2 linked regions of the Caenorhabditis elegans genome follow. The protein of the gene in region 2 interacts with the protein of the main gene of each other region in a biochemical or structural test. Each region holds a gene or a part of one and is shown on either strand. Other genes may lie near its edges. The genes, in order: mup-2 and tni-3.

Region 1 (16,170 bases), on a different chromosome or scaffold from region 2:
CTTGTTTACCTGTTTTACCCGAATATTTTTCGATTTTTTTTTTGAATTTTTTGTACTTTTTCACAACATTCTAAAAACTATAAATCCACAAATGAAAGACCATTCTGAGTGATATCTGTGTCTCCAAATTAGTAATTTCATCACTAGGTACATTTTTGAATACACTATCTGTAAACGAAAGCTTTCAATTTTTTTCATTCTTAAAACAAAACAATTCCCAATTTCTCATCAACTTCTATCCCAATTATTGAAAATTTATGCTCGTTAGTCTTTGTATCCCAATTGATTATTTCTTCTCACTTCAAAATTCTATTTTTCTGTTGTCATTTTATTGTACATTTCTCGATTTCCTGGTGTAAACTTTGTTGCTTCTCGGTTGTAATTCTCTACTGAAACCCAGTTCCTCACTGTTCTCGCCCCGTTGCTTTCATTTCTCACTTTGCGAAAAAAAAACATAAGCAAATACTATGAGGCCTATTTGTCAGACTTTCCAGATGTTCTTCCCAACCATAACTACTCCCCAAACTCTAAAAATTCCCCAGGTCGTTTTCAAAATTGGCCCCAGATGTGTGTCTCGTATCTGTTTTGCTTATTCAAATCTAACCAATAACTTTTATTTTTGAATTTGATAACTTGATTTTGAATTTGATAATGTGTATAATTTTTATCATAGAATGTTTTCAAATGCCTCTCTGATTAGTTTGTTACACACATCAAACTGTGGCGTGTCATGCCGATTTTCTCTCCTACCACAAAAAACTTTGCCCCAGAAATTCATCAACTTTGCTGTTGTAAGCAAATTTTTTCTCACCGCTTTCAAACGATTATTTTTCTCATTAGCTAGATCCCAATTTCTCATATTTTTCCAATTCCGTCTTAGTCCTTTCCTTTTTCAATTTATATTATTCATATATATTTTTTCCGTTGACTCGACTTATTCAAACTTTAATAATAAATATTATAATCAAAATTTGTCTTTCCACGAATTCTTGTTTTAATCTGTTTCATGAAATGCTTACAATTCGAATGGGAATGCAATTTTTATGATAAAGACTTTACTGATAAGCACAAACCGGAGAGTATGCAGAAACAGAGTACTTGAAGAATTGGAGAATTGGTTAATAAATTGGAAACAAATGCAAAAAGTTTTGATTGGAATATTAGAAAATGGATTTTTTTTGGTTGGGATTGGGTTTATTTTAATAAATTTGATAATCAAAAAATTGTGAAATGAAAAAAGGTAAAAAACAGGAAATTTATTCGACAACGACCTCTTCTCCAACATTTGGATCCTCGGTGACTTGTTGTGGCTCGAAGTCATCAGTTGGAACGAAGAGTGGGACTGGCTCGACTGGTGCTCTGGCTCCCTCAACCTTGACCTGCTCAACGTACTTTGGTGGCTCCAAGTTTTTGCGGATCTGCTCGAGTTCTTCGTTTTGCTTGCGTCCCCACTCTGCTGGTGGTCGTCCGGTTCCGCGGACGAGGGAAGCCTGCTTCTCCTCTTCTGGGTTCTCGAACAAGTACCGACGGTCTCCGTAAGATCTTCTGTCGGTTTGACGGTCGAACTTAGAAGCGGTGGTGATCTTTGGTGGATGGACAGAGGAAGCAGCCTCCTCTGGGTCAAGTCCCTTCTTGAGAGCCTTGTTACGGGCGGCTTGACGTTGACGCTCGTGTAACTCTTTCATCTGAAGTAATTGAAATTTGGTTGAATGTCACACACAATATCAAATAAGTCTCATTGAATAGTTTAAACTTACGTCATAGTCTTGACGTTCACGTCTCTTCTCCAAGTCGTACTTCTCAGCCTCGAGCTTGACGATACGAGCATGAAGGCCTCTGATTCTCTCCTTCAAATCGTTTGGAAGAAGTCCAGAGACGTCTTGTACACGGCAGACGGCGGCCAAGAAGTTTCTCTTGGCATCCTCCATCTGTTCCTTGCTCATGACATCCTTTCCTCCCTTAGCCTGAAAGTTTCTTAATTAGTATTCGATTTAAAAATGATACAATAAAAATACCTGAGCCAAGTTTCCGAATTGAGCAGCTTGGTCTCCCTTGGAGGCGACAGTGAAGTTGCGTCCAGCTCCGGCTTCAACTCTTCCGTTGAAAGCTCCAGCCATCATTTGTTGACGACGGACCTTCTCCTCGTTCTTGCGGATCTTCTCGGCATCAGCCTTAGCCTTGCGTTCGTCTTCTTCCTTGCGACGGCGCTCGTCATCTTGACGTCTACGTTCAGCGAACTGACGCTCGTCCTCTTCACGCTCAGCTCGGCGCTTCTCTTGCTTCTCCTTGAGTTCACGAAGCTCTTGTTCGATTTGCTCCTTCTCAAGAACACGGCGCTGCTCGTAATCGAGAAGTTTAGCGGCTTCCTCTTCCTCGTGACGCTTCTTGGCGGCCTAGATATGAATTTGGTTAACAATTTTATGAATGAAACGGAAGGTCTCCCAAGAAGTTATACTCACCAACATGGCAATCTCAGCCTCAGTCATCTCCGCTGGTGGCTTCTCCTCTTGGACTGGAGCACGACGCTCCTTGACCTCTGGTGGAGCGACTACTTCCTCGGTGGTCTCCTCTCTACAATTTCAGTGTTATACAAAAAATCACGAATTCAAAGCTTAAACTTACGGCTCTTCAGCCTCAGCTGGGGCCTCTTCGGTCTCCTCGACCTCCTCCTCCTCGACCTCCTCATCAGAGCTAAAAAATTAAAAATTAGAATGTCTAGAAAAATGATAGGTATATAACTTACTATACCTCCTCCTCGTCGGACATGATTAGTTAGGTTTAGGTTCTGTAATTATATGAAAGTTAAATTCTCAAAATTCAAAATCTCAAAACATATTGATAAGAAGTGATGACACAGAAGAAGAAGGAAATTTGAGTATGTGCCGGTGGGATGTTGAAATCGACAATGAAGAGATATGAAAGTGCTTGCTCCGGGAGGCCGTCGTTGGCAGATAAGTGGGAGGGGCTGGCGGGAGCGGGAGCTCTCAGGGAAAAGAAAAGTATAACATACGGACACAATCTGTGCTGTAAACCTTACACCTACGCAGAGTGAGCAGCCGTGCCCTCCTCGTGTGGCTCTCGTCTTTCTCTCTGCCTGGGGCTTCCCGCGGGCAGTCTGCGTTTCCTCAGAATACGCAGACTTCTGTGATGTGCTATCGTAGAAATAGGGCATCATGTTTCGATCCGAAGGCTCAATATATTTTTGAATCACCAACATTGATTCGAGAAACGGGTTTCTCTGCTTCTCTCTCGATCACCAAGATGTGCACTTCACTATCTCTTCCTCCTACGCTGACACAGACAAGGGACCAACAAGAGACAGATGATGATGAAGAGTTTGGACAAGTTGAAAAAAACAACATAGTTTATACTGGTCAATTGATAAAAATTTCTAACAAGTAGTTAATATGTTTTAGAAATTACTGTGATTTTCCTATTATTCTTGTATCTTCCACTGCACACTAATTCTAATTGGTCAGCTTTAAAATAATAAAAACGCGTTAAATATTTATGTGGTTCAAAAAGTTTTGTTAAAATTTAGGTAAAATACGGTAAACTTATTTTATAATTACGAATTTTCAATGAATCATCACTTTTATTTAAATATTTTAACGCGCAAATGAAAACGTAGTGCTCTTTAAAATTGATCCATTTAAAGTAAACAAATCATTTTAATATTTCTACAAATATTAAATTTCAAAATTCAATGTTTAGAAATCAATGATATTTGTGTAATAGTTTCCAATTTACCGAGGCACCTTGCCAATCGGCTATCATCTTTTTCCAACAAGCTCGTTTCCACCAAAAATCCACTCACAGTGGCCCCTGCAATAAGACAAGCGGGGCGAGCATACGAATAATATTTGGGTGGCACAATTGTAAAAACGCAAAACAATAATACAAATATTCTTTCTTTTCATTTGAATGCAGCTGATGATCTTCGAGACGTTTTCATTCAAATTCTTGTAAGCCAGTGTCAATTGGCCGTCTGGTTCAGTTGCGGGGATCCAATTAAGGGAATTTGAAAAATTGATTCTAAATAATAAATAAAACATTAATTTCAAAGAACATAATAATAAACAAGGCAAAAAAATTACGAAAAGTGTGTTCAATGTGGTGACAACAGTCCACACTAATTAAATTATTGCAAAAAAATAGTGTTATTCTAAGAAATACGAACATCTTTGTGAAATACAAAATAAATGTAGTAATTAATCATCAATTTCAAAACTTTAGTCTAATTAATTTGATATTAACATATGAGATCAAAGATATAGATTACATTTTCGAAAATGTCAAAAAATTACCCTTATTCAGAAAATGTATGTTTTTGACACCTTGTATTTTTCTTGTATTTTATAACATATTTTTTGAAACATTGTATTTTTGGTTTCTAACTAGCAAATTAGTCTATGGTGGAGTAGGGGCAGTGGGGTAATTTTTCTGAACTACCACTCTTATAGTACCAAAACTATCAAATATCATAGTAAAAAGTTTCAAAAACTCTTTGCACATATTCAAAAAATTGACACACAAAAAGTGAAAATTACTAAGTTTTTATCACTTTTTGAGAAAAAATAGCACAGTCGCATGTTCGAGCGAATAAAATGTTTGAATATTATTATTTAAAACATAGGTAGACCATGAAATTTGAAACAATTTTTATTTGGCCATTTTGGCACTATAGATTTTTATCAATTTTCCACAATCGCGCTATTCTACGCTTAATGCCACCGAAAACTTTTAGAATTATTTGTAATTCTGTAGTTAAAAATCTAAGTTTCACTCTGTGAAAATCATTTTGAACTATTTTTTAAGATATTAGATCTATTGATTAGCAATTTTTTAGATTATTTGTTGCTAAAAAGCTGTCATTCGCTAGACTTTAGGAATGAGAATTGGTGTTTCAAAAAATTATGGCTAAAATTAAGTCTTGAAAATATGAGTGTATATCACAAGCAGCTACCGTGTTTTAGCGCGTTTTCCTATTATTCTATAAAACACGTTTCAGAGATGTTTCTGGAAGTATTTTTGGCAACTGGTTGGAATCAAAATCAATTAAAAAATCTGATTTATTCAGAGGGTTTCAGTGACTTTCGACGTTTTTTAACCAGTTTTAAATATTACTCAGGTTATCAATAATCGTTTTATTTAGTTTTTCTTTTTATAGATTCCCAAGTTTACGAAGATATAATCTTAAACTTTAGTCGAGTCATTTTAAAGGGTGTAAATATTTTTTATTTTGCTCAAAGTTTCCAGGTTACTTCAGCTTTTCTATGTAAAATTGTTATTTTCATAAACACTACATTTAATACTTTACTGCACCACATTTAGACCCAAAAGTGACGCCATGCATTTCAACTCAACCCCATTTCTTAGGAGAGAGGCGGGGCCTAGTTCTAAAATTGGTATCTGTGGGTAGCTGTGAACTCGAGTGGGAGCCACACGCCTTTTTCGTCACTTTGACTTGTCCCTCTTGACTTCTATTAAGTTCTTTTTGCACCCAATTTGTTTGGTATTTACTTGACAAGATTTACTATGTCACCTAAATTCATCACACTTCTTCTGATTGCTTGCCTTTTTGCAGGTACGTTTTTCATAGTTTGAAAATGTTTCATACTTTGTTTTACGATACTTTTTTCTCATGCTGCATGTTGTACTTGCAATATTTCAATTTAAAGTATGTGTGTGTGTGGGAGTTAGTTAGTTACTTTGACTTGACAAGTGAAAAGAGTGATGTTGAAATTGAAATATGTAGGAAGTAAAAGTAGTTTAAAGTACCAACAACATATATTTAACACATTAATTTCAGCATTTATAAATATTGTTTAACTTTCAGGAGTATGCAGTAAATTTATCGCAATGATTGACCGAGCAGAAGTTGATCCTGAGGAGACTATAGACTTGGAGGAGGATCGCAAGGTGTGCTTCTGCTGTCGCGCATTCGTCTGCCGCCATCAATTATGTCCTTGTTCGCGGTTCACCGCTCTATTTTGATTTTTTTGTGTTTATTTAAAAATGAAGTGAATTAAAGTGACGTGTTTTTATCCACTCTTTTAACAAATACCGATAAACTTCCACCGAAAAGTAGCGCTTCATGCCTCAAACATGATTGATGGTAGAACAATACTCTGAATTTCTTTGTGTTTCTTCCGCATCTTTTCTTAGCTCCCATCAGTATGTAAACGAGCTTGCGAGGGCCACTTGGGAATCACTGGCAGCGTGATTGAGACACTAAAAACGACGTATTTTCCAGTCCTCGAAGATCCCGTTCTAGATATAAATATGTATTGCGTCATCATTTGAAAATGTTTTTATTTTTTCTGAAAATACATTTAGAAACAAATTGAGATCTGGAATTCGGCGGGACTGAACAAAATTTGAGCATTGTTAGTGTAATGTAGAACTACAAGGAAAGGTTTTCAACCCTCAGACATCAAATCGAAAACGGCTCAGTACCACTCAAAAACTAAAATTTCCGAAATGATAATTTACCCATAAACATCCTTAAATGTCGAAAGTCTGCCAAAACTGGCTGGAAAGTAGAGAAAAAAATTTCAGATCAAAACGGTTGGAGTTCAGAGTGCAGAATGCACATCTCTCGTTTTGATGTCTGTCGGGACGGGAAAATAAAAACCTTTCCTTGTTAGATAAAATCATCGGTAAAAATACATAAAGCTTCAGAAACATTGACAATATTTTGCTGAGCAAGACTCAAGCTACACCCTTCCTCCATGATTTGTCCTGACCAGTTCTACCCCGTCACGGTCACTCTCGTTCACATTTGATGGTATTGGCTGATGTCGATTGATAAGTCCTCTAAGACGAGTTTTCGATGCATCCATCTGCTCTCTAAACAAGAAGTAGAGTGCTCCAATAAATGGAAGTAGGCCACCGAGGAAGAAAAACCAAAAGCCGGATCCGATTTTGTATTTGTACTGAAAATAAAATCGTTTTGAATAACAAGAATTAATTAGCTAGGAAACAGTTAAAATATGTTTTTTGCTTCGTTTTACCAAAATATGTTTCTTTAAACTCAAACTTTCAAATTTCGTCTACACTTTTTTTTTTAGTAAAAAGCTAGGAAATTTCTATAATTTTCTGATATCAATAACGTTTTGATAAATTTGAAGTATCAAAATAATTTATGCGTTCTGTCTTAAAAATGTATGTAGGTTATTGAGTAGTGGAAGAATTCAGCTAAATACAACTTATATATTTGCTTATAATGACCTAGAATTCTCCAATTATTGGTGGGCTGGTAACCTTTCAGACCTTACATCACGTTTTGGTTTTTTTCAATGTTCATTTTTTCGTAGACATTTTTTGTGGGTGAAAAATTATTGATGAAAACAAGAGATTTTGGTAATTTAATAAAGTACTTCAAAATATATTATAACTTTATTTTCCTCAGTATGAAGTTTTTAAAAAAAGTAATCGTAAAAATCATAACGATTTATTTTTATCATATTTGCGTCAGATAACTTCAGCTTATGATTCTAATACACCCTTTCGAAAAAAGACTATTAAATTTGCAAAGAACACTCGTTGCAATACCAAAACACTTAAAAATAATTTTCATAGTACGCTTCGCTGAACAAACAGCTTATTGAATTAAAGGCTAGAAACCCTTCTGCTTCGATTGGAATATATGAAGTAACTTTATACTTTCTTTGAATCATCGTAAAAATCTTACATCTTCTTTTCTCAGAGACAATGGGAGAAGATTATCAGTGTAAGTTTCGTAAAGTACAAGTAGTAGGAGAATAATCCAAAGGCCAACTGCAAAAATAAGCATTAATAGTTTGTAGTCACGTTTTGGAACCGCACCTGGAACGAGCATTGCATGGAAAAATGCGAGTTTTCGCTTTTTTGTCAATTCTGTAAATGACTGGCTACAACAGTGTCCAATGGTATATGCGAGGTAGAAAATTTGAAACGCCAATATGACCAGAGCAATGTGGAATGTCACTCGAACAACTGAAAAATAAATATTTAGTGGAGAAAAATAAACTTATAATATATTTTTAAATAATACCTTTATTTTTTATTACAGCCACATCGAAACACTTTCAACTAAAGTTAAAAAACTTAAAACGTTTGTTTATCGTTTCCTTATTTTCAGATAATTCTTATCGAGATCTGCAATGCAGGCCAAAAAACAATTGGGACGACCTACATGCCTAATTATTGATTGATTTATTTATTTAACTTAACTTAATGTTTAATTATTATGATAAATTATTTTAAATCAATCAAAAAAACAGATTTCCACAATTTCTGGTTTCTAAAAACTTTCGCCGACTCAAATTTGAGCAATTGTTGAAAATGTTAATTTTCGGTTGTTTTGACAGTTTTTGATGATGCCAAAATTGCCAATTTTCATCCGTGACTACATTTTGAAAACAAAAAAGTAAATGTTGGCACAATTTGTCATCTCAGTCGTGTTCCAGAAAACAGATTCAGAAAACTGAGATTTGAGACACATTGAGCTTGAAACGTGAACTTTTTCGTATAGAGAAATTTGGAAATTTTTCATATTTTCGGCAATCGGGAGTTTTGGCAAAATTCAAACAACGTACCAGTTGAAGCGGCCAACACTTTGGTAAACGGATCTGGAAACTTTTCCGCTTTATCTTCAAAATCCCATGGAAGGCAGAAGATGTTCTCGTTTCCTGGTGCATTGTTACGGTAACAATCGTGTCCTCGAATTCCTCTCTGAAATATATTTTTAATTATTCAAGTATAACAACTTAAACACCCTATTCTTCTCAATTGAAATTTAACAAAATTACTTACCTGAAACTCATCGTTTTCGTTTGGTCTGTCCAAAACAATCCAAGCATTATTAACAATTCCAAATGACGTGAGCATAAGTGAAAAAACGAGACAACCAACTGATACTACAAAACGCATTATATCTGGACTCTCCGGAGTACTTGATATACTTCCCGGCATTGTGAAAAGCTGAAATACAGAAATTTTAATAAGTAAAGTTTGCGCTTTCAAAAAAAAAAAATTTCAAATTATATATAAAATAGCACAGAAAACATGAGGATTGAGGCCAACAGAGAAATCTCTTGGGAAACATTTGCATTTTGACTTGAGAATAGAGGGAAAAGTGAAAATAATTCAAGTTTGAAGATGGGATATCTACTTGCTTTTCGACTTGTTTAGAAATGTATGAATGAGTTTTGAATTGGTTTTTTTTTGCACTTGCTCGAATTTTTTATTCAATAAAACTGTTTTCATTTTCAAATACCTTATGTACAACAAAAAATGTTGTCTGACTACCAATTCCTAAGATATTTAGAAACAAGGATAGCTATACAGCAGTCTCTACCTGTCATTTCTCTCCCATTTCCTCTTCTTGTTAGATCGTATTGCCGTCGTGGAAATGTGGGAAAACGAGAACCCGAGATAGAGGAGAGACAGTAAGAAGCGTCTGCGATCTACATCTGAATAGCGCTATCTCATCCACCAGTTTCTGCATAACTTCAATGAATCAACAATAGATGCGCGGGAGACGCATTGATTCGGGTTGCAAGGACGCCAGAAGTCAATATGTTGAAATAATGAGACGTCCAGTTAATTTAAGATGGTATATTGTTTTGTGTACAACAGTTTCGAAAATGTTCTGTGTAAAACGGGAAAATCGAATTTTTGGAAAAATAAATAAATTAATAAAAAGTTGTTTCAAAAATATTTGCCAAAAATTGTTATAAATTTTTTCTTGAAATTTTGAAATTTTAACAGTAATATCAACAAAACAACTCGGAAAATTATCAACTTTGTTGATTCAAAATTTGTGGATTCAAATTCTCGCAAAACTAAAAAAATTTACAAAATATACCAGGAAAACTATGCATTTAAAAAATTTAGATTCCAAATCGCAAATTGAATAAAAAATTTTAATTAAGAACCATCCAAAAATCAATGAAAATTTTTGATTTTTGCGAATTAATGAAATCTCAAAACACAACAGGTGTTTTTCTTATAACAGTTTCTTTCAGAACAAAACAGTTCTTTTGCAGATCAAAATACAACGGAACACTTCAGGTGAAATTTAACAAAATGAGAAAGCAGGTGAAACAAAGACTTGAGTGAAAGACCAAGCAGTTTGTGTAACTTCTTGCTCACAATCTTATTTCAAAATCTTTTCCTCGCAATTTGCTCATCTTTGTCTCAGGCTCTGTCCAGTTGTAAAAAGTAATATAAAAACAGTGCTTTTTCATTAAAACAAATATCAAGGCAACTCTTCTGCCGGTTTTCATTGTTTGGTTTGAAAGTGCTTTTCTGTTTCAACCACCGAAAATTTTTTGATGAATCAGCTACTCAAGAAAAAGGAAAAAAAAACAAACTGATGAAGAGAGGTAATCCTCTTCTCCGTTTCCCTCTCAAGAAGTCAAAAAGCAATTGGTTGCTATAGTAGCAAAGCATATGTAGTATAGCAAAAAGAGTGCTGGACGCCACTTGAGTATTGACATTTTGAAGAAAAGGAGAAAGAGAAAACGCGTTGACAGATATAGCTGAGTGATGGAACTGCCCGTTGGAACATTTGCTGATAGAATTTAACTCAAATATAATTCGTTTGATTTTTTTTTCGAAAGAATCATCAAAAATTTCACAACAGCATCGCGTCTGAATATGTCTGAATAAAAAGTTTTGTTAATGAAAATTAGTTAAGAAAATATTTTCAAAGACATTTGTTTTAATTTTTTTTTCCTTAAAAATATTTTGAGCCCAAAAACAATTTAATATAAATGTCTTTAAAATATTTCACAGCAGTTTTAAATTTCAATTAAAAGTACCCAACATTTTTAATTTTTTTTGTTGTCTTTTCAATATTTTTGTTGGAAACACGTGAAAAAGTCTGGAGAGTCATTTGCAATTTAGATGGCACACTATTCCTTTTAAAGTAATTGAACGAAAAATTAACTTGCAAATATCAAAAATGGTCTGACGCCAGAAGGGGAAATTCTAACAATTTTTCCAAATTTCGGACATTTACCAAAACGTTGACTGAATAGTGTTTTGTTGAGACCTTAACGATTGAAAAAAAATTAAAAAAAAAAAAAACTCTCAACCACATGTTTTAAAACAAGTGGTGCAGGATCTGACAAAATATGGATGGGTGATTCTCCCTCTACCACCGAATTTTCCTGACATTGCTCTAAGTGATTATTGGCTTTTCTCCGATCTGACTCTTGCCCTTCAAGGTATAGCTTTCAAAACAAGAGAAAATTTCAAATCTGATATCAAGCAATACTTCGAGTCCCTGCCCGCTGGATTCTACAGGCAGGGGATCCACAAGTTACCTCAACGTTGGCAGGACGTTGTTGATCATGATGGAACATATAACTGATTTCTTGTTTTAGTTTGCTTCGAGAAATAAATGATTGAAAAATAGGACAGGACTTTCTTGCCAACTTAATAAAACTGTAATTTAAACTCAACTTTCAAACGGTGAATATCAAAATAATGTGCGTAAGTCATTGGTTGGGCATGAATTCATTAATTAGTATAGTGTTAACAACTTTGCGTGTTTAGTGTTAAAGAAAAAAGTAAGAATTGGGGGTATTCTACAATTGTTTTTCAGAAAACCAAAAAGCAAACAATTTTTGAAACGTGATATCAACAAGTTGTGCACCTTCAACAAACATTTCCGCTCATAATGAGATGTTACACGAAAAAAAGCATCAGAATCGATTTCATGGCATATGAAAGCGTTAATGAATAAGAAAACGAGAAGTGTCTCCTGCTCAACTCATCTTCATTCCAACACTTCTCGCAAAGCCAAACCTAATGAAAAGATTTCTTTCTTTGTCATCGTCGAATTGAAGAGAAGACAACGGAAAGAGGGGAGGGCGAGAAAATGTATTTTTCTGGCTGCAGAGGTCCGAGAGTTGCCAAAATTGACACAATGCTCAATGGTCAAAAGCAAGGAGCCAACAAAGTTGAGGCGAAGAGGGGTAATCAATTCAAGACACGCATGAATAAGAGATAGAAATCCAAGATTTCATGTTTCAATTTTGACTTGTAACAAAAAACTTTTTTCATAATTGTATGTATATACGTTTCTTTTTTTCACCCAAACCTGAGGCGTTGTTTTTCAGAACCAAAATAATCCCAAACTACCAACTTTCTTAGACCTTCTGTTAAAAAAAGTATGGATGTTTAAAGTTTTGGAAAAAATGCCGTCAGTGTTGTAAAACACGGAACTTGATTTTAAACTGACTACCGCCCTTTAATATATATTTTTGTTATCTATTACCCATTTTTCGTTAATTTAGTTACATTTTCAGTATATTGGTCCACAAAATAGTATCACATTTGCATACTTGTCTACTGAAAATACATCTTAATTAAGAAAAGAACACGTAATAAGTTACAAAAATATGCATTAATGGGTCATACTCAAAAAAAAACACCAGACAAAAAAAAAATATATATATATAGCTAAAATCTTATATTTCTGGCAAAATATAAGATTTTAGCTGAAAAAAGGCTATTTTTTCAAATGTTTCAAACGATATAGTTTTTTGATCAATGTTCAGAACATCTCATAACAGAATTCAAATATCACCTTTTACTAGTTAACTTGCTCTTACAGATAGATTCAAATCATAAATAAATCAATTTAACTTTATTAAGAAAAAAAACAAATCAAAGATTTGGCATGTCTTGAATCTCGACATAAGTTGGAGTAGAGTAAATAGTATATCCATCACGAATTCCGTATTCACGGAGTGGCTTGGAGTCCTCTAGGTGAGTTGCTAGAAACATTAGACTTTTGTAATTTTTTAGGTAAAAATCTTACTCCCAAAGACAATCCATTGAATTTGTGAAGGAACAGTAGTCATCTCTTCAATTTTAGATTTTGCCTGAAACAGTTTACATAGGAAGGTTTTAGAAGATATGAAAATTTATAGATTTTCTAGAATTTGAAAAATACTTTAGTATGATATGTATTTATTTTCAAAATCAATCAAATTTTCATTCATTTCTCTATTCTAATTAAAAGTGATTTGAATTTTTACTACATATGTAGGCATGCAAATAATTTGTTCCTAAGCTTTAATTAAAATAAAATAATTACTTTTCTGATAGGGGCATACAATAAACACGTATAATACTTTTGGTTGTCAACTTTATCACTCGAAGTGTAAAGCTTACCTCAGCTACTGTAGCATTATCTCCAAGGTTCAAATCAATAGTATGTCCTGCATACTTTCTGGTTTTGTTGTAAACGATAGCTTTAATGTGCCTGGAAATAATTGCGGTTAAAGTTTTGAAAAATTAAATAGAAAACTTACATCTTTATTTTGAGTGGCCGGTCAACTTTTCGAGACGACGCCACACTTTATATGTTTTCTAATAAGCTGCATTTTGCACAGAAATTAAAGTGCCTGTTCTGACCCGCAATTATCGTTTTTGTGTCCAAACGTTCTCGAATTTTTGGATAAACATGACAGTATAATTTGGGCTAATCAAAAACAAATGGAAGAATAGAAAAATAAGAAAATACGAAATGTATTCGTGCATGATGTTAATATTGGTTTTTATCTGTGTTTAAATAAACAAATACCCATTAAATTTTGAAATGTTTCATTAGAACCTGGAAGTATTGAATATTCGGATTATTTTTTGAACACATATAGTATTTTACAACAGGAAACAATTATTTTACAATAAAAACTTGGTAATCAAAACGATAAACATAGAGAAAGAGACCGATAAAACTGAAGAAGTTTTAGTGGTAGTAATTACTGGTGCAGCAGTTGCAGTTGAGGAGACAGCACCTGATGTTGGAGCAGATGAAACTGGCACAACGGTTAAGATAGGCCCAGTAGGTCCTGCTGTTGCTACTGAAGGAGGTGGTAGAGTTACTGGTGACTGATTGGTTGGGCTTGGCGTATTTGTTGTTGAGGAGACAGCACCTGATGTTGGAGCAGATGAAACTGGCACAACGGTTAAGATAGGCCCAGTAGGTCCTGCTGTTGCTACTGAAGGAGGTGGTAGAGTTACTGGTGGTGCTTGAGTTACTGGTGACTGATTGGTTGGGCTTGGCGTATTTGTTGTGCTGGTTGAAGCAACTGGAGCACTTGTTCCAACTGGTCCAATTCCTTGTTCCTGCAAAACATTCGCTTTGACTTTTATGTTGTGGGTTAAAAATAGACTGATCAGCAAATTTTTAAAATTATTCTAATTCAAGTAATGATCCCAGAAAACTTACAAGGAATTGGGCAAGAAGTGGCTGGCGCACCATACTAACAGCAATTGATGTGTTATAGTTTCCTTGCCCATGGACAAAGTTGTTCATCATTTGAAGAACTGGTCCTGGACGATCAGTTGGTGACATGTGTCCGGCTCCCTTGACAGTCAAAAGGTCAATAGTCATGTTGTTCTTTTGGAATTTTTGAACGTATCCACCAATTTGTCCTCCGTACATCCACGATCCTCTTGGCTGGTTCGAAACAAACGTTTGAGCAGCGGCGAAGTTGTTGATCATTGACTCGGCTTCGAACATTGAGCACACAGAGTCTACATCTCCGTTATAGATTAAAACCCTGCAAAAAATTTATTCAATAAAATGTTGTTTTTCACCATTTTACTTGAGATTATAACCGCTGTTAAGAATGTCGGTGAATACTTGAGTTGTGTCGTTGTAGAGATTAGCGTAGTTAATTTTGCTGAAAAATAGCTAGCATTGAAAATCAAGAATTACAAACTCACTTGCAGAATCCCCATCTTGGAACTGAATCCGGAATATGGAGTGCATCACGGACGTGAGACAAACTTAAATAGTTGTTGATAGCTCCTAAACTCCAGCACGAGTATCCCCCAGTAGCATCAGTCGACAATGGATCTTGTGGGGCAGTCTGAAATCATATTGGTTTTTCGTTGAAACTTTCTATTGTAGTACAAACCTTGGTAATAGCCTGTGGAATAGAAGTCTTCAACTTGTGGTCCACGTCGAGCCTGGAGAATTTCTCTTTCATCGCAAATGGATTTGCCTGGTCTCTTGGTGTAACATAGCAATCTTGATACAAATTATACTGATCGTACAATGCCTTCCAGTTTCTGTCATACGACAAGTTTTCAACAAGGTTCGCGCAGTCTTGAAGTGTCTGGTTGTTAGGGAACTGCTTGGCAATTACATTGACTCCAGAATCAATTGTAATGTAGTAGTCATAATTGCAGTCACCAGAAGAATCAGCTGATGGGCAGCAAGCACGAAGCTTCTCCCACATTCTGAAAATAAAACAGTAAATCTAGACGGTGATCATGAAAATCCTACGGTTTATCGTAAATTCCGTGGAAGTAAAGGAAATCTGGAAGCGTTCTGACATCGTTCACAGCACTGACCATTCCATTTCCAATGCCCATACCACGAAGCTGAATGTTAGATTGTCCAGCCTGGATCTTTTGAATCAAAAGTCTAGTAAGAGTTGGAACGTATACTCCACCATATGATTCTCCAGTAATATAGAGCTCGCTGTTTCTGTGTGGTGGATAGGTAACGAAGAAATCTTCCAAAGCGGTGTAGGTGTCCAAAGCGGTCTTATCGTCATCCCATGTTGTATCGTTGTTCACGTTCTTATCTTGATATGAGAATCCGACTCCTCTTGGAGAGTCAATAATCAGGATGTGAGCAGCCTTGTTCCAGGAGTAAATGTTTTCAAAAAGAGTTTCGCCATCAGGGTTCACAAAGAATGGTCCGATTTCGGAGAAAAGTCCTCCGGTTGAAGCACATCCTGGTCCTCCCTGAAGCCAAAGAATGATCGGATCTCCTTCATTTCCGGACTGTGATTCGACGAACCAGTAGAAGAGCTTGTTTCCTCGAGTTGCTTGGAGATAACCCGAGTGTTGCATAAAGTTGACGTTCCATGTGACTCCTGGTAGAGAGAAAATGTGATCAGCCTTTCTACGTGGAACTGTAACTGGAGCTGGTTGGTATTGTGGAAGAAGTTGTTTGCGAGAATAGTCAAGAGTCAAGTTTCTATTGTAATCCAATTGGTTCACAAAGTTGTAAATCATTTGAAGGGCTGGTCCCGGGCGATCTTGAGGCACAAAGTGTCCGGCTCCCTTAACCGTCAGTTGATCAAAGACTACCTTGGTGTTCTTGGCAGTGTTGGTGTAAGTGAACTGTTTCCAATAACCTCCGAC
Region 2 (15,829 bases):
AATTGCTTTTCTGTCTGTGGAAATAATCATAGACTAGCGCATGAATGTTAGTGGCGATAATATCATACTCCACTTCTCTGGTTACTACAACTTGACCAATAATTATTCCCATTTCCTTTGCAAGGTTCGTATGATCTTAGAAATGAGAACTATTAGCACTCAACAGGAAGAAAGTGTTCGAGTTAATTTTTTTTTTAGATAAACCCTTTTTTTTTTGGAAAAGGAACTTTTAAATAGGACCCTTCAAAAAATTGAACCGCATAGGAGCACTTTGAACTGGAAAAAAGTCGAAGTGATATTTTCAGAATATTTTCCCATTTTGAAAATGGCTTTGAAACTTGTTTTCTTACATGTTTCATAACAATATAGAGAGCCAATATAAAACGTTTTCAAACAAATAAACGTCTGGAAATTTCTGGAAACTGTAAAAATTTTTGCATAAAATTAACAAATTTTTAACGTCTTTTTTGAAACCAAAAGATTTTCTATAAGACCAAAAATTTTATTGCACACATGAAATAAAAATAAGATTTAGAAAAAAAGGGAGCCAACACGAGATAAACTCGTCACATATTAGTGACCATCACACTTTGCGGTGCAGTTTGATTGGACGACGAAAAGTCCAGACGTTTACAAAACGGGAATAACTGTTGTGTATACTCCCGGTATGGTGTATGAAGAGCTATCATGGCAATTGTTGAGAAGAATCCATGAGATGATATTATAATTATTGTGATGTTGTTTAATGCCTGATTGTGGAACGCTGACTCGGCGAAACAAGAAAACCCGACATAACAGATTGGTAAGAAGACGATGATGAATGGGATGAGGAGCTGAATCTATAGATATGAAGCTTCTAACTCAAATCTTGAAGGCTTTTATAGGCTCACCTGCAGAATGAAGGCTCTCTGAAACTTCCTATGCAAGTCCACAGTCTTCTGTGACATTGTCTTTGTCATTTGCTTCTTCAACATCCGATTCGTTATAAATGCAAAGAACCATACCTCAACAAACATTGCAACTATAAATGAAGCACATCCACCCAGAAAATATCTCTTAGTAATTGCAAGATAGAAAACTTTCTTAATATCTACATACGGTGGAACACATTCAAAATGGTCCATCAAATTTCTGTACCCGGCTTTCTGGTCGGGAATGTTGACCAGTGCCGGGAGGAAGATTATTGGAAGGATATAATGGAGAATGTAGATTGGAGTACGGAACCGTTGAAGGGTTTTGTCGGAGAGGACAAGGACGAATAGGCGGTTTTCGAAGACGATGGTGATGGAGACCAACATGACTGAAACGGGTTAAACTTGAGCACTAGAACAATTTTCGGTATTTTCTGTGCCAAATAGCTTAGAAGTCACCCGACCAAGGTTTGAAGAAAGTTGAAAAAAATTTGGATTTGGCAAAATATTTGGCAAAAATTGGCCAGAAAACACAAGATTATAGTTTTTAACGTCCAGGGTATAAATTGAAACACTACTGCTTTTCCAAAATTTCAGAGAAATTTTCAAAAAAAAGGCCTGACATAAAAAGTTTTAGAACCACTTTTTTCTAGTTCTTAGAGTTTTTTGCAGCTAACAATTTCTGTCGTAGCCTACTTGAAAGGTCCTATTACAATTCACATAAACTTCATTAGGGAGCATAAACTTTTAAAACTAAATTCCTTATTACTTTCGCCTGAACTTCAACTAACAAGAAAAATTTGAAAAATGCAACTTTCTATAATCAAATTGCCAATAAAACCACTTACATGCTCCAACAAATAACACTACGTACACTTGAATTTCAATCGGTACTCCAAACTTCTGCATAAGCCCCAATGGATATCCAGCGAGTACTGGGAATAATATATATGGAATCGTGAACAAACTAACTCCCAAATCAAAAAGACAACTGAACAAGTGTAAATTCATCATACTCCATTTCACAGATTGCATAGATATCGGTGTCTTTGCAAATACACAGAAGCCTCCGTAGCAATGAACAGGAATTGAGATATAACTGATCACATGGAGTACTGTCTCAAAAAAGTCCGGAGTGTAAAGGTAGTCAGTAATGCTGCAGTAGTCGTATACCATTACAATTGAAACAAAGTGAGCAAAATCAAATAATCAAAGAACCTTGTTTAGAAAAGTTGTCTCAAAAGTCTTTGGAGAACTTGAAAATTGGCTCGCGGCAATAATTATAGGCATGCTATACATAACTGCTTGTTTTGAGGTTTTTTGGTTTTTCCTGAGTAAGCGATCAGAAATGCAGCGCGCGGTGCTGTCTGGGTGCAATAGGCACTTATGTATTTGAACTTTATAGAAGAGAAGTGAAAGCCCACGAGTCTGGGTTCAGAGATTATTGTATAGCTTGTGAATTTGGCCGAAAAATAATCTACGTAAAAAAAACAGATACCATTTTGCCCCTGGACCCTTGGACCCCATGACTCCAGGACTCAATTTATGTTCGCAGGTAGGACATGAATGAGAGGCAGGCGCGGTTTCAGGGCCTGACGCCTGCCTCATCGCCTCAAGTCTGCATTCTGTCGGGGAATCAAAGGCTTGGTGTCTACATAACATAGTGCAAAAGGTGATTTTTTCGCTGCGGCCGACACTTTTCAGGTTCCTCGCCGCACTATAAAAAGGCGCAACTTGTGGCGCGAAGCAGGCGTTTTGGGGCCTACATGGAAGCCCTACCTGTGGGCTCGCAGAATGACGCTTCTCTTATTTTTGATCCAAAAACTACTTAGAAATTGAGATTTTGAAAAATCTATCAAATTTAATACGCTTTATTATTGATGTCGATTTCTTTAAAAAAAGATTTTTTTCATTTTATACAGAACAACATAATTCAAAGCAAAGAAATTCTGGAAACTCATAATTTATCCCAAAATGTCACATATTCGTCACCATTACACTCTGCGGTGCAGTCAGGTTTGTAGGCGAGGAGCTCAGACGTTTAAAAAATGGAAATAACTTCAATGTATATTCCCGGTAGGGAGCATGAAGAGCTACCATTGCAATCGTTGAGAAGAATCCATGAGATGATATTATAATTAATGTCAAGTTATTGAAAAACTGATTGTGATAGTCAAAGATCGCGGTGAACCCGATGTAGCCAAGTGGAACGAAGACGATCAGGAATGGGATGAGGAGCTGAATATGGATATAGAGCCATTTACATTTTATAGACTCACCTGCAAGATGAATGCTCTTTGAAACTTGCGATGCAAGTCTACAGTCTTCTGGGACATTGTCTTTGTCATCTGCTGCTTTAGCTTCCGATCAGTCATATATGCCAAGAACCAAACTTCCAAGAACAAAACCATTATGAAAATTCCGCAACTTATAAGAAAGAATTTCTTGACAAGGATCAAATAGAATACATTCTTCAGTTCAACATACGGAGGTACACATTCAAATAAATTGATGAAGTTCTTCTTACCCTCTTCCTGATCGGGGATTTTGATGACAGTTGGAATAACTATTAGTGGTATTATATAATGGATAAGGTAGATCGGAGTGGCGTAGCGATGAAGGTTCTTGTTGGTCATTACGAGGACAAACAGGCGGTTCTCAAAGACAATACTAATGGCCACCAGTAAGTCTGGAAATTTTTAGGATGGTTATTAGGTGTTTTACTATTCGTTTAAGTTTTTAAGGTCCTTTGGTTTTTAGCATGCTTTCCTTACTAGCCTTACTAGATAACCCTGTGAAATTATGTTGGCCGATTGGCTTGAAATTTATGTTATTTGAAAGCTGATATCATAAACTGTAAGAATCTGACTTTCATTTCGGCTTGCAATTTTCACAGAACCAAATTTAGATCAGAAGTTAATAAAGTTTGGGCTAATTGCGACCAACATCATTTTTTAATGGCATTTTAATGTAGGGAACAAAATTTGGGTGACATCAATAGGCCTGTTGAAAAGGTCAAGTTATCACAGTGGGCCGGCACTCTAACCCCAGCTACCAGGCCAAGCCTACATATACCGTGCTCAAGTAAAACTACAGAGTTCAGGACAAACTTACATGCTCCCATAAAAATGATCATGTAGACTTGAGGCTCTGTTTCCACACCTAGATACTCCAAAAAACCCAGCGGATATCCAGCCATTAACGGAAAAAATACAAATGGTGTCGTCAAAAAACTCAATCCCAAATCCAAAAGACAACTGAACAAGTGAACATTCATCATACTCCACTTCACGGATTGCATAGATATCGGCGTTTTGAAAAATACACAGAAAACTCCGAACACGTGGATCGGAATCGAGATAAAGCTGATGACATGGAGCACCAATCGTTGAAAATCGGCAGTGTGTAGGTAGCCGGTTTGGTTGCAATAGGCAGGCGCCATTTGATCATTTGTGTAACACTACTCAAAATGTACCTAGTGAAAGGAGGAGGAGGGTTCAAACTTTGACCGAAATTTTCAGCTGCTTGAAATCATTGACCATGCGTGAAAGTTTAGAGCTCAAAGTTGAAATTGTGTACACTCCAAAAATAAACCGCCTGGCATTGGTTGGCACTATGAGTAGTTATTTCACCTGTAAACGTGAACTGAAGTTTTCAGATATCTAACGAAACTCCATAGATAATTTCAGGTCAACTCGAAAAAAAACTCACTGAAATTCCAGGTTGTTAAAAAATTTTTTTTAAAAATTAAATAATATGAAATGATAACTTGGAAGATATACAACAACTAGTCGGAACTCAGTCTCTTGTTAGCGAATTCATTTTTTTGCAAATGCCATATCCGAGCCCGTTTTGGCAATGATAATTGCTTTTCCATTCTTCTGACAACATAATTATAGCACCCCGTATATGCCAGAGTTGATAATTTCACACTAGAATGTTAATAATAAATGGCGGAAGTTAGACAACAACGCGTTTTTTCAGTCTACTTTTTTTGAAACATCACAAATCGAGGACAAATGTTCTCAAAGGTAAGTTTTTTACACGCCTGCCTGCCTAAAGACAGAATTCACCTGAACATTTTGAAATCTATTTGTTGAGCTTTCAGTAATCAAATTTGTAATATGGAAAATGCCATTGTTTTAACTTCACTCCAAAATGCAGACAAAGAGATGTAGGGCAGGTAGGTAAGCAGGCGTGAAGGCGCGGATGCCTAGTTTTTGTGTTTTTGAAAATTTGTTGCCCGTTATTTTAAGAAAACTGAATTTTTTGGAATTTTTCTGATCCAATGTTTCTTAAAAATTTCCGACAACATTTCAAAAATTTAACTTTTTTTTTTGAAAAAAAAGAAGCAACATTTTTAAAACAGAAATATATCCAAAAATACAAAATCCTATTTGAAAAAAATTTACAGATCCTTTGAAAATATAGCTTTCAAATTTAAAACTGTCAATTTAAGAATTAATATATTTTTTAACGTTTCTAATAAATTAAAATCCCAAATATATTTCAGCGTGAAAAAGTTCATTGAACCTTTTCGACCCTTTGCTCCATTTATTCTCCAAAAGTTCATTTTGCACAATGTGCTCAGTACGTGGAAATCGGGATAAAACTGAAGTTGCATTTTCTGCCGTCGCCGGTATGTTTTCTTTTCTGTTGTTTTTTTTTGTTTCGATAAACTTTCCCACTTTCCGCTTTTTCCGCAACTTAATCATATTTATTTTTAGAAAACCATCATGATTTCTGTCACTTTCCGTCAAATTCTGGGTCTTGTTTCTCTACTGTGTGCCACGTGGCTTTACAGCCAATGCAGACATATTTGGCTGCTCGCCCAGGACGATTTCAACGAGCAATTCACGAATTTTTTGGGTGAAAAATGGTGGAGCACGGATCAGTTGGAGCTTTGTGATGATGAGACAAAGGACACGAAATGGCAGAAAAATGGTGAGTGTCTGTGTGTAATCGCGCTCCGTTGATAATTTTATATTTGGTATATACCGTTTTTTTGTCCGCAGAGCGCGCTTGCAGCAAGGCTACTTAGCAAAATTTGGGGGTTTATCAGTTTTCAAAAGATTTATTTCAATTTCTCTCCATTAACTTTCATAAGTAGCAATGAAAAATGCGATTATCATATTTAATTTTTTTTTTGACAATAAAAAATCAATAAGCTCAAGCACATAAAAATCTACAAAAAGATCACCACTTCTTATTCCTCTTCCTCCTCTTCTTCCTCTTCCTCTTCGGCTTCTGGCTCTTCAGCTGCTGGCTCGGCGGCTTCTGGTTCTGGCTCGGCCTCTGGCTCGACTGGAGCAGCTAGTTCCACTGGTGCAGCCTCTTCTTCCTTCTTCTCTTTCTTGGACCATTCTGGTTTTCCGTCGGCGGTTCCCTTCTTCTTTGCCATGATTTCGTCGAGGTCCGTCTCCTTTTTGACCACTTTCAGGTTGTTGCGGAAGTTTGATTTTTCCTGAAATTTATTGTTATTTGGTGGAAATCAATTGGAACAATTTGAGAACTTTAAAAAAACTAAAATGTTTTTAAAAAGATATCGGAATATTTTTCAATGGAAATTTTCAGTCAAATTTTTCTTTCCGAAATTAAATAGTGGTTTGCCGTGTTTGAGTTGAGCATTTTAACATTTTTTTACACAATTTTAACGCATTTTTGGTGTTTTCTGCATTTGGCACGAAAAGTTGTTGCAACCGACAGTTCACGGGAATTAGCGAGCTTTGGGTGATCCCCAAAGATGTCGGCTGCATCTGTTTTGCAAACGCAATAGTTAGATGCCCACATTTATAGTTTGCAGCCGACACCTAACTGGTCTGTTCAAAAAATTTCAAAAATTGTCTTGCAGCAGCCGACACCTAACGAGGCTTCGAAAAGTTTCTACAAAATTCATTATTTCCAATCTCTCACCTTAACTTCTCCGGATGACTTGAACTTGTTGTCGTACTTGGACACCTTCTTCAATGTTGGCTTCACAAACTTTCCTCTCAAGTCATTAACTTGAATAGTCAACTGATTGATCTCTGCCTCAGTCTGGGATACTCCGAAGTTGATATCGAACTTCTCCTCCTCAAGAGCACAAACTCTGGCGAACATATCCTCATAGATCTTCAAGAGTTGTCCCTGATCATTGATCGAGTCGACGTCTGGAAGTGGGATAGTACGCTGCTGAAGGGTCTTCTGACGTTCTTGCTCCTTGAGCATTTGCTGTTGCTTCAAGTCCTCGGCGGCTTTCATCATGAGAAGTTTCTGGAATTATTCTGATATCTAAAAAGTTACAGCCAAGGCTTTACTCACTCTAAGCTTCTTCTTTCTTTCTGGAGTCAAGAAACCCTTCTTCTTGGATCCCTTCTTTGCTGCCTCCTCCATACGCTTACGGACTTCGGCTTTCTTGAGCTCACGCTCTTGAGCCTTGCGGGCGGCATCCTGAAATTAATTTTAAGTAATCTGAAAATTGAGCAACTTCTTACGTCCTCAACATCAGCCTGAGCTCCGCCGTAGCGAATGTTCTCGTCTTCAATCAGCATTTTGGCGGGGAAAAATGACCTGGAAAAGTTGATCTGTGAGAAGTGGCAAGCGGGGCGGGAAAGAGAAATTGAGCAATAAATCTTGATTAGTATGTGTGCGGAGCAGGAAGGAAAAATAATAGCATATGGAAGAAGTTAGTAGAGAAATGGGATTTGAGAATTAGAACAAAGAACATAAAATGTTCTGAAAGATACTACGGTAACCTAAAGAGGCCGACGCAGCCGACCGGTGGCGGCGGCGGCAAACCCGGGAAATGTCGGCTGCAAACTAATTTTCAGTATAGGCTTAGATATCTGCAGCTGACACTTAACCGGGTGTATTTTGTACATTTAAAGCATCGAGACATTTTGTTGAACCCGGCAGATGTCGGCCGCAAGTTTCCATAAAACAGAGGTTTTTGTAATTTTTTCCAGCCAAAATTTTAAGACGTAATAGATTGTGAACCCGGGAAATGTCGGGTGCAAGGAAATTAATTTATATTTAGATGATACGTTATAGCAGCCGACACATAACTGGGTTTAGCGGAACTTTGGGAACCCGTGAGAAATCAGCTGCAAGCAGCTTCGATAGTTTTTAAAAAGTAAAATGTTGTCGCCGACATTGATACAATTTAGTTTAACCCAGGACATGTTGGCTGCAAGAAAGTTTTGCAAAAAGTGTAAAAAACAAAAACAAATCTGCAGCCGACATTGAATTGGTTTTCACAAGACCAACAGTTTCCAATGCATCCGACATCTCACAGGGTTTTCCAAAATTCTATTAAAGCTTGCTGCAGCAGACTGAATTTTACGAAATATTCACAAAACCACAATTCATAATGGCAGCCGCAAAAAACCCGGCCGATGGCATATTAATCAGGCTAGACAAGATATACGGTAAAAAAGTAAGACCTGGAAAATCAAAAAGCATGACGTAATCTGATCACAACGAATGGCAGAATGAGTGAATCAGGAGGAGAAGACTGAAAACTAAAACCAAAGTTTAAAACATGTTTTTCCTGCGGAACCCCCTCCCTCCCTGTTTTCCCCTGCTCTCCGCCTCCATCTTGTACTCTCTCTCTATCTCCCGTCTATAACTTTTGCTCCTACTGCTGATGCACATATTGCATACGAAACAAAACGAAGAAGCGAACAGTGTAATAAAACAGGGCGAAAAAGAATGGCGGAGGCGGGCAAGAAGCACTAGTGAAAACGGCGGTAATTCAAAACCCATCATCACTTTTTGCCGCAAGATAGAAACGACATGTGTGTGTGTGAGCCTAGAGCTCTCGGAGCTCTCACGGGAAAGCTTTGGGAATACTACTTACTTTTCTTTTTCTGTGGTAGAAAATGTGCTAGGGGAATTCGGAAATTAGCAGGAATTCCCCGGGGGAATCCCTTTTATCAGACCACCGGTGCCAATCAAAATGAGGATCAATTTGCAAAAAAGAGAGATATCAGAACAGTTGTTGCCACCACATCAATTGTCGCAAATTTTGAGGTGGCAAAAGATTGATGATTGGGAGAAAAATGGGAAGTCTGGAGGTCAATTTTGGGTTTTTTGAACATTTTTTGAAAAAAGTTAGGAAAATTTCGGACTTTCGAAGTTAAGTTTCAAATGATTTAGAGCAAATTTGAAGGAGCCAGGATTTTTTTTCGCGTTTGAAAACTGATTTTCGAAGGCTCAGAGCTTTCCAATTTCATAAAAATGAAATTAGTTGTAAACATTTTGAGTTTTGTTTTTCGAGGCTTCTTAGAGCAATTTGGAAAATACTGGAGTACAGTTTGAAGGTGGATTTTGAGAGCTAATTTTCATAGAATACTACAACTAATTTGAAAACTGTTTTTTTTCAATTTTCTGAGCAAATTTGAATGTTTCCAGAATTAATTTCAATTATTTCAAGCTCCTTGAAGCAAATTTTTTGATTCCTATGCTTGTTTTTTCTGTGCCAAACACTCAACAAGAAATCGGAAGCATATGTGCTCCGATCAGCACCGCAGCTTCCTCATTTTGATTTTTTTTCGAGAATTTCTGAGCTTTGTTCCGAAATATCATTAATCAGGCATAGATATCGAACAGAAAAAAGGGTTTCTTCAAGGAAAAAAGCTAATAATTTCGAAATAGTTGTCCCTGATCAACATAGAAGATTGATGTCTAGAAGGAACATGATATGTGGGTTGACAAGTTTTTTTTTTCACGGACGTTTTTGCTCAATGAGCACACTGGGCTCAGATTTTTGCCGGAACTTTTGGACAACCTTTACGGAGAGGATACTTGGCTAGTAGCTCCTCTTCCGGGCTACATGAAATAATTTCAGGCCGGAACAGGCTTTTGAGTAGTCCACTATTTCTGAAATCTGCCAGCTTTGCTCTCTGCACTTGCCAATAAAATATGTATAACCACCACAACAACTGACGTAGTGAAATGGAGGAAACAAAAGTTCAGAGATAATAAAAATGATGGGTATGAGTGACACAGCTTGCAAAATACTTTGGAGAATTTTGTAGGGGCACAGGTTGTTTTGTTGCGGATAATTTTGTACTGCGGCTTTAAAATTCCAGTGAAATTTATTCTGAAATTCCAGATTCCATCTGCATCACCTACGTCTACAACATGCTCCCGGTCGACATGGAAATTATCAGTTGGGCTCCGACACTTGTGATCTACCGTAATCTCATGAGCCCCCGCCAAACCGCCAGTTTCTTGAATTTCATCGAACAACGTGATTTGGAGATTCAGAAAACGTCAGATTTCGGGACATCGATAGAAACGACGCATCGACGGGCCAACGGTAGTTTTATTCCGCCGGAAGATTCGAATGTTACAGTGGAAATAAAGATGCAGGCTCAGAAAAGGATTCCCGGCTTGAACCTTACCGTTGCCGAACATTTTTCGGTATGATTTTCTAAAATAATATCCAGATGTACTCAGTTTTAGACTTCCTGATTTTTTCTAAAAGTTCCAAAAAAAAAACACTTTTAAAAATTTTTAAAAAATTTGTAATGGTTTACAAAAAATTCCAGAAGTTTCTGGAATATTTGAAAATTTCAGATACTTTCAGAAAGGTTGAAACTTTGCTCCATCTGAAAATTGAATTCAAAATTTAGCGCTAAAATGTTGGAATTTTTCAAAAATCAACTTTCCAGGCCCTCTCCTACCTGCCCGGTGGTCATTACGCAGTGCACTATGACTATTTGGATTACCGTAGCAAACAGGACTACGACTGGTGGATGAACAAGACGGGAAACCGAATTGGAACTCTCATTTTTGTACTGAAACCTGCTGAGAAGGGTGGAGGTATGTGCTGTCTTTCGCAGGACATTGAGCTAGCTGTATTTTACAGGCACCGTATTCCCAAGTATTGGTTCCACAGTTCGCGCCAACGCTGGAGACGCGTTTTTCTGGTTCAACGCACAGGCTGATGAAGAGAAGGTAACTAGGGCTTCCATGGGAGGCAGGCGCGGTTTCAGGACGTTACGCCTGCCGTAAAACAAAGCCAGCGCCGGACAATTTTTGGGTTCCGCGTCGCACTATATGAAAGACGCGACATGCAGCGTGGAACAGCGTGGTTGTGGTCGCTGGAAGGCCGGCGCGGCACCGTGGTCCTCGCTCGATGTCGGCTGCGGATGTAGGCTCAGAAAAAGTTTATTTGCGGATAGATAAAGCCACCTGTAAGCTTGCTAACTTTGCTCCCAAAATGTAGAAGACGCGGGGATCCCGCCAAAAAAAGCCTTGGCTGCGGATCAATTTGACTTCTGTCAGAGTCTTATTTTGAATTTTCCAGGAGATGCTCAGCAATCATGGTGGATGTCCAATCTATGAGGGCCGAAAGGTGATCGCGACTATTTGGATCCGTGCCTACAATCAACGTATCCTTCCGATGGCTCCAGCTGGCTCCTCCATACATGCTTCGTGGCTTATACCGTCTCTCTCAAACAGATTCCGTCCGGAAATGCAGACACAGTCGCCAGTGCCCAATTGATATTTGTAGAACAATTTGAATGTTTTTTCTTTCTTTTTAAAACTCGAAATACTGGTAAAATTTGAATATTATTTTATTTACAACTGACACCCGTAGCCCGTTTACACAAAAATGTGGATACAGTAGTGGAACAATCTACAGTATCCCAGTCTCCTCCATCACCAACATGAAGTACAATACAAGAAGAGGCAACAGTTCGCTGAGAAGTTTTAAAGTTCAAAAAGTTAACTGGAGAGCCATCAAACCACCAGATCGATTTAGGTGTAGAAGCGATTCCGCCAAGAATTATACTTGTGTCGGAGAACTTGTAAATTGAAGTTAGGTAGAGATTCTCGGTCACTGAATGTACAGATGGGAGATTGGAGCATTGAGCTTGGCAGATTCTCTGAGCATCCGGGATGGTGGCGGATTGGTCGACCTGGATGTAACAGTGATTCTTGTAGTTGTTCGTGCAGTTGTCTGGAATTCGGAAGTAACTGTTTCAGATGCGGCTTAAAATTAAAGGCCGCTCTGTCGTCTAACTTTGAGCCGTACCTGACGTAGTTGTAGGCAGCTCACAAACAAACGGCAATTGTTTATAACAAACTAGGCTTTCCCATTGACCTATTGAATTGTGTGTAATATTATAAGAAACACATATTCCGGTGTCCACATTTGGGAATCCTGAAAATTTTTCATGTCTTGAACTTGAAAAATCCTGTAAGATATGAGAAACCGGGTGCAAAATCATAGTAGGTGACATTTGAGCCATTATCCCACTGACAAGATGTGACACTTTTCCCATTGCAAATTAACCCCAACCATATTTGAGAGATTTGGTGGATGCTGAGGAAAGATTGGATTTTTTGGTTCTCCTGAAACAAAAATTATTTTATGGTAATATTATTTTGTGTCAGCTTTATGCCTGCCTACATATCTAACTACAACCTACTTGATGGTACTAGGCACAAGGCATGCATAGGCGGCCTTGAAGGCAGGCAGCGTGCATCAATTTCCGGCCCTAAAACCACACTCACCTCTGAACTCTGAATTGTGAGGAGAGTGGCGCCAAGTCGATTACACGTAGCTTCAGCGGTTGGTTTACTGTACAGAGTTGTATTTAACTGGAGACATTTCTCATCGATCAGCACAAAATTGTTGGTGCATATTGGGACTTTTTCTGTAAAAAATTAAAATTATACTTTTAGAGTTCATAAATTACAACACATTGAAAAATATTTTTCAGAGGTCAAACAGGCAGTTAAAAAAGTCAATTCTAACAATGATTCTGCACGGTCCCTGCCTTTCACGAAAAAATAATTTAAACTCCATTGCACCCACAAATAAAACCTCATCGTTCGTGTCTTATCAAAGTGTGACTGAATAAATGTTATGTTAAACGGTCTGATTAATCGGATTATAATTATTTCGCTTGATAGTGTGTTGGGAGGAATTAGACACTCACCTGATGAAGTGGTAGGCGATAAGGTTGTCACTGCAGTCTCTCCTGCAAGTAACGGGAATTATCACGTCATAAATTTTCACGAACCTCCGTGAACATTCGGTTGAACCACAAAAAAGAACATGAACAAGAAGAAGGCAAGAATTAGAAATACGTTAATAATTCCGATAAGCATCATTTTCTTGAATCGATTATTGACTGTATAGTGAAGTATCCCGAAATGACGTTGACGACTGAAACTGTTTCAGATACATGTGCTTATAATGGAGAAACTAACTCTCCTGGCTCAAACTCTGATTTCGGTGGATCATAAGCGTCAACGATTGTTCTCTCATTTGGAGTCTCGTCTGGCTCGGTTTCTTCGGCAGACACACTTGGAATCGAGTAGTTTTCTGGAGCATCTGAAATGCCTGTACATACTTTTGTAGTATCATTTTTAAAATGTAGTTGTTTTTCAATGATAAATAAAAACTGATATGTGATTTGAAATTGCATACCTACTGCGGTTGCCCTTGAAAATCTGAAAACCTTTCGGAGACCGCTTAGCATTTATTGATTAAAAGGGTAAAACAAAGTTAAAATTGTTGCAAATAAAGAGAAATTGATAAGACTGATATGGTGACGATGAGTCGATTTTGTAATTTAACACTTATTGACCTAAAGTTTTCTCAGTTCGAAATTCGGCGCTCAAAATGTTTCATGTTCCAAACACATTCTGAGCCCGAACTTTCTCAAAAAAAAAACCCCGACTTTGGCTTGTTTCCTAAAAATCTTCAAACTTTCTGAATTGTTTTATCATGATTTTCAGTTATTTCATTCTACTATAAGTGTATTATTAAGACCAAACGGCATTTTTAAGATAATTATTTTCTCGTATTTCCCTTATCACTTTTGCCTTTTTAACAAAATGTACAACTATTTTATACTAATTAAGTAACAATTTGTGATGTCATCGTCTCACCTGTTTGAAGAGCTAGAATGTGATCAACCTGAAAGCCAAACGTTTTTTAAAAAGCTTCAACTTGTCGATGACTGGAGGAACATATTAAAAAAAGGAGTATTTTTGACTATAATCGTTATCTTTGCGGTTCTATTAACCTATTTTCTGGCAAGAAAATCAATATGTGAAACAGGTTTAGAAAATAGTAAAACAGAATAAAAATTTATATCTTTTATAGGGATTGCCACAAGTTCTACTTTTTCTACGTCCGCTACTTTGCCAACTCCAGGTGGGAATGTAGTGAGCTCTTCATTTCTAGGTGTCGGATAAGGTACGGAAAATACTTGTTTTATCGATGGTATTTTCAGTTGCGGGGAACTATTCTTGCGCTACTGGGTTTACATATATCAGTCATAAGTGTTGGAAATTGATCACTGGCCCACAGAATAGAACAGATGCTGATCATGCTTGCTTTAATCATAAAGGATCAACACTTTTCTCAATTAGAAACGAGCAGGTACGGAAAAACACAGCCAATTTGAGTCTTAAACTTAATAGTTACAGGAAAATCAAGATGTTTAGGAGTTTGTGAAAGACCAGTTGGTTGAGAACCTGTGGACCGGGCTGGTCTGTCGTAGATATGAACCGAAATGGTGTACTTGGGATGTCAAAAGCGGAACCACCGCCGACTACGACAACTTTGCCGAAGGCAATTCTAAAAATTAATGAAACATCTACAATGTCGGTTTGCAGGTTCTTCAAATAATGAATATGGAGACTGTATTTATTATATAACTACTGGAACACAAGCCGGCAAATGGGCAAGTGCATCATGCAATCAGGCGTTGAGTTTTGTGTGTGAGCTACCTGCAACTATTTATGGTAAGGTTTTACGACCACCTTACTGTTAAATTAAAATTACAATATATTTGTTTCGTCGTGAATGTTTATGCCACACACACATATTCTACAGTATAGATCATAGCTACTGTAACGCTGTAAAATATATAGTTCACCTCCATTCACACTATAAATTTTAGATAGAACATGCGAATACAACTACAACAATCATTGCTACATCCCAAATTTGGAATGGAAGCTCTCTAGCGAGGCGCAAAGCTATTGCACATCATTGGATTCTAATTTGGCTTCAATTCAGTCTGCAAATGAAAATCGCTTCGCAATGAGCTTATTTTCCCCGAGAACAGCAATTGCAATTGGTGGAGTTGCCGTTTCAGACAACTTTGTTCTATGGTATGATGGAACAAAAACGACTTTTATCAATATAATCGAGTTTAGAAGAGGGAGTTGTCTTTTCATTAGAGGTGATTACGGAGGACACTGGATAGGTTACGATTGTCTGTATGACAAAGCTGTGTTCTTGTGCAAGCGAAACATTTCAGAAAAGTAGAGAATAAATGTGTTCAGTGAATGTTTACGGATTTTAACATAACACACAGTATTTAGCTCACAAGCTAGTGTTTTCTTTCAACACTTTTAACCATATTTTAACCATATGATAAGATCAATTTGTTTATAAATATCTGTAACTATATCTGTAACTAATTTCTACAATACATATGAAAAAGTAATTTTATTTTTTTGTCTCAGATCCTCCAGTAGCAACAATAGTTCTTATGATACATGAAGGAGAAAATGAATTTTACACGATCAATGCATGCTTTTTTTAATTTCGGAGTTCAGAATGGAATGTCAAAATTTGAAACCCGCCAAGGCGGTGCACAAAAGGCGGTGCACAAATTTTTAAGCGAATTAACTTTCCTTTTCACTTTATCAATATTTCCTTTGTTGTTCATTCATATTTAGCATTTGCTTTCTAATTTATGATGCCAAAGTCTTCTGTATGTGAAGATCAAGAATTTGATAAGCCCCACGAACAAAAACATGTTGAAAGGCTTCAACGTGTCGTGTCTGATCACTGGAAGAATATATTGATCGGAGGATTATCTGAAATTATAATTGTTTCCTTTGCGGTTCTATTAACCTACTTTCTGGCAAGGCAACCAACATGTGAAACAGGTTTG

What was found.
Region 1: the proteins of tni-3 (region 2) and mup-2 interact in far-western blotting, tested with the Caenorhabditis elegans proteins (one study listed by BioGRID).

What each region holds. Positions count from the first base shown.
Region 1 is NC_003284.9:6,407,443-6,423,612, forward strand, and holds mup-2 (Troponin T), read right to left. Parts: upstream 2,786-16,170; 5' UTR 2,767-2,785; coding exon 2,744-2,766; intron 2,692-2,743; coding exon 2,623-2,691; intron 2,572-2,622; coding exon 2,460-2,571; intron 2,394-2,459; coding exon 2,016-2,393; intron 1,965-2,015; coding exon 1,758-1,964; intron 1,686-1,757; coding exon 1,257-1,685; 3' UTR 1,029-1,256; downstream 1-1,028. Other genes in the region: nssp-78 (Accessory protein 7b), read left to right, coding at 5,539-5,587, 5,840-5,997; T22E5.6 (uncharacterized protein), read right to left, coding at 6,720-6,938, 7,697-7,782, 7,831-7,980, 8,583-8,718, 8,800-8,958; K10C2.12 (Ubiquitin-like domain-containing protein), read right to left, coding at 12,667-12,776, 12,821-12,884, 13,177-13,267, 13,317-13,318; ctsa-2 (Carboxypeptidase), read right to left, coding at 13,687-14,133, 14,237-14,570, 14,616-14,693, 14,737-14,882, 14,931-15,255, 15,302-16,170. UniProt on the Caenorhabditis elegans protein: Troponin T is the tropomyosin-binding subunit of troponin, the thin filament regulatory complex which confers calcium-sensitivity to muscle actomyosin ATPase activity.
Region 2 is NC_003283.11:16,827,669-16,843,497, forward strand, and holds tni-3 (Troponin I 3), read right to left. Parts: upstream 7,461-15,829; 5' UTR 7,442-7,460; coding exon 7,385-7,441; intron 7,341-7,384; coding exon 7,212-7,340; intron 7,164-7,211; coding exon 6,825-7,163; intron 6,376-6,824; coding exon 6,118-6,375; 3' UTR 5,970-6,117; downstream 1-5,969. Other genes in the region: srh-214 (Serpentine Receptor, class H), read right to left, coding at 567-833, 891-1,300, 1,760-2,087; srh-215 (Serpentine Receptor, class H), read right to left, coding at 2,889-3,149, 3,191-3,600, 4,026-4,353; phy-3 (Fe2OG dioxygenase domain-containing protein), read left to right, coding at 5,648-5,855, 10,006-10,316, 10,568-10,718, 10,765-10,853, 11,206-11,403; clec-40 (C-type lectin domain-containing protein), read right to left, coding at 11,477-11,862, 11,938-12,066, 12,119-12,257, 12,420-12,562, 12,848-12,889, 12,932-13,077, 13,122-13,245, 13,342-13,393; clec-25 (C-type lectin domain-containing protein), read left to right, coding at 15,632-15,824. UniProt on the Caenorhabditis elegans protein: Troponin I is the inhibitory subunit of troponin, the thin filament regulatory complex which confers calcium-sensitivity to muscle actomyosin ATPase activity.